Linked DNA regions of Sus scrofa. The protein of the gene in region 1 interacts with the protein of each later gene in a pairwise test. Links are inferred from orthologs where the notes say so. Each region holds a gene or a part of one and is shown on either strand. Other genes may lie near its edges.

What was found.
Region 2: the proteins of ZNF24 (region 1) and PGBD1 interact in binary tests that used the Homo sapiens proteins (3 or more experiments, as listed by UniProt). The two-hybrid records come from large-scale screens. The link is inferred for Sus scrofa from reciprocal best matches to the Homo sapiens genes ZNF24 and PGBD1.

What each region holds. Positions count from the first base shown.
Region 1 is NC_010448.4:119,160,967-119,164,204, reverse strand, and holds the end of ZNF24 (zinc finger protein 24), read left to right. Parts: intron 1-1,861; coding exon of another isoform or gene 1,862-1,881; exon of another isoform or gene 1,882-2,172; intron 2,173-2,184; coding exon 2,185-2,723; 3' UTR 2,724-2,738; downstream 2,739-3,238. UniProt on the Homo sapiens protein: Transcription factor required for myelination of differentiated oligodendrocytes. Required for the conversion of oligodendrocytes from the premyelinating to the myelinating state.
Region 2 is NC_010449.5:22,150,778-22,154,277, reverse strand, and holds part of PGBD1 (piggyBac transposable element-derived protein 1), read right to left. Parts: intron 382-3,500; coding exon 1-381.

The DNA of each region.
Region 1 (3,238 bases):
TTTTCTTACCTTAGTCTTTAATTCCTCAACATTAACATCATCATCAGCCTTTTTCTCTTCTCCCTGTTTCTTTGAAGACCCGCCCATTTCAGGCTAACATTTGCCTTACTCTGAGCCAGCACCCACCTGTAGACCAGATCTTTCCATTTTGCATGCAGTATTGCTTTTTTTTGCCGTCTGTTTCACATCCTTTCACTCTCCTGCCTAGTCCTCCTGATAACTTCTTCAAATCTAATTTTTTGGTTTGTTGTTTATCACTAAGGTTTTTTTCTGAATTTTTAGTTTTTGGGTTTTTTTCCCCCCAAATCCTATCTGGAGTCATTTTTTTTCCCCTAAGAAGCTTCTTTTGTAGAAATGATGCCTGGGTAGAATTCTTCACCTGTTCTAAATATTTAAACGAAAAATTGCCTTCCAGCTATAATATGCTTTAAGTACAGAAAAATTAAATAGAAAGGTCATAATTCGTCGAGGCTAGTCTTTCCCAATATCTTGGCAGTTAATGCCACATACTTATTTATTTTTGACACAACCCCATATATTCCTAAAACTGCTGGATTTCTTTTTCATAATTACATAAATTAAAATGAAATTTTGTTTGAGACTATTTGGGAATCATTCCCTGAGGAGACAATGCTAGCATGCCTCAGAGTGAGCTCTGAGTAGGCTCATCTCTGAGGGGCACAGTGCTTGGGAATCAGAACTTCTGAGGTGGGGCTGAAGTTTGCTGAGAATCTGCAGTTTTACATCTTCTATGGGACATTCTTCTGTGCAGTCTAGTTTAGGAATTGCTCTCCTTGGATGTTGGAGGTGGCATCTTCCTAGGTGGAAAACTTCTCCCCTGCCTGAACTTTAGAAAAATTCCCAGTTTCATTTATGGCTCATTTGGTGAAGAAGCCAACTAATATCCTCGAGGATGCAGGTTTGATCCCTGGCCTCACTCAGTGGATTAAGGATCCAGCGTTGCCTTGGCTGTGGTGTAGGCCGGCAGTTGCAGTTGTGGTTGTGATTTGATCCTTAGCCTGAGAATTTCCATATCTGCAGATGTGGCCATTTAAAATAATAGTAATAATAATTCCCACCTCTTTTTAAATAGCCTCGCTTTAGCTGTCTGGTCTCTACCACACTTGGGAGCTCAATTCTCTCTCTGAAGACCTCCATTCAAGGTCTTCAGACCTCACTAATTCCCTGTAACTCCTCATTGTCTCTCTCAGCCTTCTTTCCTGACTATCCCTTTCTCCCTCCCTCCCTTCCTCCCTTTCTTTTTTTTTGCCACCCTAAGCAGCATGCCGAAGTTCCTGGGCCCCTGATCATCCCTTTCCTAATCATTTATTATAGACTTGCTTACTGTTGACAACTTTTCTGAGCATTGCTGCTCACCCTTTAGTAACTGTTTATTCTTCAAAGCTTGAAGTTTCAGGAAAGTCATACCAGTGCCTGCCTACAGGTGGTGATGGTACCTCAGGGTGGTAATTTAGGCTGTTCTTTCACTGGACACAACTAGCTGAGGCTTAGAAGTAATAGTTCATCTTGAGTACATGACAAATACCAAATTTGGCAAGCTGCTTTTACAGGAAGACATTTGGTTATTAAAGGTGCATTGAATTTGTACCTGTCTTGTCCTGAATTAACATAGGATGCTCCCAGCTTACCTTCAGCTTCTTCTTGACAGGACCCTTCCTATATTCTCCTTTTAGTATAATCTTGGCTGTGAAGTGTTTTGTTTTGCTCATTTCAGAAATAATCACTTTATGACAGATTGGTTATTATTTACACCATTGTATTTTGATATAATTTCTCCATTTTTTTTAGAGCAAAAGAATATTAAAATGATTTCCTAATGGCCAGTTTTGTTTTTCTCCAGATCTGGCTGCATCACTTTGACTGTCTCTCCAACAGTCTTAGAATCTGCTGTTTTTCTGCCCTTTGGTTTCCGACTATCACTGTATAAATAACTTGCTTGTATTACCTCTTTTATTAGTACGTAACTTTTTATCCCCTCATATGTTATGTTCTCACTTCATTAAATTCTTTTTTGAGAGTAGGCAACCTTATCAGTTTTCGGAGTGCTGTTTCTAGACATATGCAAGCCATGTACTTCTAGTTCATTTTTTAAAAATTTTTCTTCAGGTTTCTTTGCTCCCAGAATAGGAAATGAGTGATATTTACATTTTCTGTTTATTTCAGATGATGATGCTAGGACTGAAAATGGAGCACTTGCTCCAAAGCAGGAGATTCCTTCAGCAGTAGAATCTCATGAAGCTCCTGGCACTCTCAATATAGGTGTTTCGCAGATTTTTAAGTATGGAGAAGCCTGTTTCCCCAAGGGCAGGTTTGAAAGAAAGAGAAATCCCTCCCGAAAGAAACAACATATATGTGATGAATGTGGAAAACACTTCAGTCAGGGCTCGGCCCTTATTCTTCATCAAAGAATCCACAGTGGGGAGAAACCCTATGGATGTGTTGAATGTGGGAAAGCATTCAGCAGGAGTTCCATCCTTGTGCAACACCAGAGAGTCCATACTGGAGAAAAACCTTACAAATGTCTTGAATGTGGAAAAGCTTTTAGCCAGAATTCTGGGCTTATTAATCATCAGAGAATCCATACTGGGGAGAAACCTTATGAATGCGTTCAGTGTGGGAAATCCTATAGTCAAAGCTCAAATCTTTTTAGACATCAGCGAAGACACAATGCAGAAAAACTTCTGAATGTTGTGAAAGTTTAAGAAGTTAAAAAAAAAGAAAATCAGCACTCAGGTCTTTTTCTTCTGAAATGAAGACAAAATTAAAAACATGAAATGATACCTAATAGTTTCCCTATAGACTGTTAGAAAATCCACTGGGAAATGTAGAAAATCTTCACCCACTCTTACTATTTTATCTTGAAAGAAATGGTGTCATACCTGCCTAGAAACTGAAATTTTAAACTTAATTCAGGTATTAATGCCTAAATCTTCCATGTGATGTTTATATTCTTATTATTTTTCCAAATGAACTACCTGATCCTTTGTCCCCTTCTTAAAAGATTCCTTCTTAGACAGATAAATTATTTCTGTATTGATCATTGAAATGTCTTTGCAAGGATACATTCCCTTCTGTGTTAAAAAGCAACATAGGAATTATAAAACCTGAACACTGAAACCTTTTTTCCAAATTTACCTTTGTTTCCTTTCACCTAATTTGAATATGCTTTTCAAAAATAGAAGATAAAGGATGACCAAAAACCTCAAAGTGAAATGAG
Region 2 (3,500 bases), on another chromosome or scaffold:
AACTTTTCACTCTTGAGATTCAAAAGTCCAGAATCCAGGGCTGACCAGCTTGGAAAGTTGGGTTTAATGTCTCTTTTGGTCCAGTTCTTCTCTGGGACACTTGACACTTTTAGCCGTTTGGAGGCAGGCTGGGTTTCTGGCTCATTATCCTCTTCCACATCTGAGTCACCAGAAAATGCGAGGCCTTGGAGTAGTTCACTCACTCGAGCTTTGTCTTTTTTTCTCCCTTTTCGAGTAATGTCTCCTGCAGCATATTCCAAGGATGAGACGTGCATCCGAGCCCACAAGTCGCCTGGGTGACGGTCCTTCAGAGTGTTCAAACGCACAACTGTCCTTTCAACAGGGACAGAAATTCCACAAGGGGCCTGGGGTGTGCAATCTCTGGGAAAGAAAAAAGGTATGCTATAAAAATTCTCAGTCTTCTTCACTGATACAGGATAAATCCACTCATACCTAAGCATTCTTTTGTGGGGAATACTTACTTCTTACTTCTCATGGTTCCATGGGGAGGACTTTGGCCAGACTGAACATTTCTAACCTTGCCCCACTTCCCACTTAACTAACTGCTGAATCTGGGAGAAGGGACTGGGCTGTCCTCTTTCAGAGCAAGTTGCAGACATTGCCTTTTTGCCACAGAAAAACCTATGGATCAGAAAAACCTATGGATCAGAAAAACCTATGGATCAGAAAAACCTATGGGGGTGGGGTCGGTGGGGAGGGAAGGTCTGCTGTCACTATGCATCCATGCCTTTGAGTTATCAGTCTAGCTTGTGTAAGTCATAAAACTGAGGCTTCCAGAATCATCTGTTTTACTCCTGTGTCTCTATCAATTGGTTCTGATTTGGACAAGGAAATGGGTTATTTACTGAGCCCCTCACCTCTCACAGAATTTTTGAATATGGACGGATTTAGCCTCTCCTAGTTCTGCATTCATCTGGTTGATGCACCACTCTGGAGAGAAACAAAACAGAAACTCAAACTTACTGCCCTTGAACCAATTTTTATGGGGTTTACAAGGAAGCTGGCCAAAGATACTAAGATGAAAAAAGTATTGTTTTACACAAATTTCTTTTTTAATTTTAGAAATTTGCATTTACTAGTATGCTATTGGTAAATGGTCTAATTTTAGAAGACATGAGGAGAGAACACAGTGGGGAAAGTATGTTGTAATATAATTTACATTACATATACTTATTTGCTTAGAGAATTTATCATCCTGAGTGTCTTTAATGTTTGTATGTATGAGCCATTCGACATATCCATCTTAGAGTTCTCAAACATCTTCAACTTCAAGGACTGTCCCTGAATCCTGTCACTACACTGAACTCTCCACTACTGGAAAACTAAACTCACTCTCTAGCCCCAATTTCTTTTCTGTCTTTTTTTTTTTTTTTTTGTCTTTTCTAGGGCCACACCTGTGGCATATGGAGTTTCCCAGGCTAGGGGTCCAATCGGAACTGTAACCGCCAGTCTACACCACAGCCACAGCATCTCGGGATCCAAGCTGCATCCACAGCTCATGGTAACACCAGATCCTTAACCCACTGAGCAAGGCCAGGGATCGAACCTGCAACCTCATAGTTCGTAATCAGACTCACTAACCACTGAGCCACGATGGGAACTCTAGCCCCACTTTCTTTTCACTCTAGGCTCCTTACACCTCTGTCCCACAATAGCTGTTCTATCTCCTCTGACTCCTCCATTCCCTCCTACTTTTACCTTCCTTCCCATTCCATCTAGATCCCATGATCCATCACTTTAGTCCATCTCTTGCCAGGATCATCAACCACCCTGGACCAGCAAAATTCAATACCAAATCAACAGCATCCTTGGTCTTCTTTATTCCTCAACCAGGAGTGAGTACTGCCAGAGAAATCACATGACTAGGCAAGCTGGCGTCGCTCAAAATGTTGGTCTCCCTAGTTAATAGTTCCCAAAAATCCTTCTCATTTCTTCTTGTGCCTTTCTTCCCTGTTCCCTACAACAGGCATTGCATCACTCTTCTCACAGCTGCTACCCAAGTTCTTGGTATTTCCAAACATAACCTCTTTTCCCATTCCAAAGAGGACCCAGAATTTTTCATGCAAGAACTTACTCTTCAAAACCTTTTTCTGTGGCTCCTCTGACTCTCCTAGTTCTTCTCCTAACCTCTCCAGGTACTTGCATTTTTTTTCTGTCTCTCTCCGATGCTCCTTAGCTAGTAAATTCCTGCTTACTCATCAGGTCTCGTTTCAAATGTTACCTCTTCTGGGATGCCTTCTCCTCAGACCTCAGCAACTTTATGGAGGATTTCACTTCTCTTCTTAAGCTTCAAGCATGTCTCATTTAACTGAGATTACGCTCCCTGTTTCCCTAAGATGAACAAATGTCAATATGGAGAATGCTTATCCTCTGCTGTTTCCTTCCTCTTTTCTCAAGTTTCCAAGGAGTTAATGGCCTCACCAGAAACCAACCCTCTGCTCATGATCCGGTCCCTCTCTTTCTGGTTTCGGAGCATCTATGCTACACAGCTCCAGAACCAACACTCATTAAGTGCCTACTACTATCTTTCACCTGTCCTTCATCATCAGCTACTTTCCTTCTGATTCTTGTTCAGGACTCTAATAAAGGTTGAAAATATTCGCACTGTCTTAAGTCCTCCTCCAGGTCTGATGTTTCTTTTTCTTTTGTTTTTTAGGGCCGCACCTGCGACACATGGAGGTTCCCAGGCTAGGGGCCTAATTGGAGCTATAGCTGCCGACATACACCACAGCCATAGCCATGCCAGATCTGAGCCACATCTGCAATCTCACAACAATGCCGGATCCTTAACCCACTGAGAGGGGTCAGGGATTGAACCCGCAACCTCATGGTTCTAGTTGGATTCGCTTTCGCTGTGCCACTATGGTAACTCCTGAGTTTCTTTCTTACTCATTACAGCAACCTCACCTGCAGTGCTCACTCTCTTGTCTAAATCCTCTGCCTTCTCTTTTTTCTGGCTTCTCTAACTATAGCCCCACAAAGACATAAGGGAGTCAGGGGAAGAGTGATCAAGCAGGGTAGACTGAGTCAGGATAGGATTCTTGGAGACAACTTACAAACTGAAGATTTTTTTTTTTTTTATTACCCTTTTAGAGCCAAACCTGGGGCACATGGAGGTTCCCAGGCCTAGGGGTCAAAATGGAGCTGTAGCTGCCGGCCTACACCACAGCCAGAGCAATGCCAGATCTGAGCTACGTCTGTGACCTACACCATAGCTCATGGCAACACCAGATCCTTAACCCACCAAGAGAGGCCAGGGATTGAACCTGTGTCCTCATGGATACTAGTCAGATTTGTTTCTGCTGAGCTACAACAGGAACTCCCAAACTGAAGATTTTATATAACTATGATAAAGTGACAGGTCTCCTTCTTGGCACGAGGTCTCCTATGATCACAGAAGTGAGTGATACTCTTCCTGTATTATTCCTGGGAAGTAGGCTTTTACCAACTTGTTTCTCTTGTTCCATTCCAATTTCTTC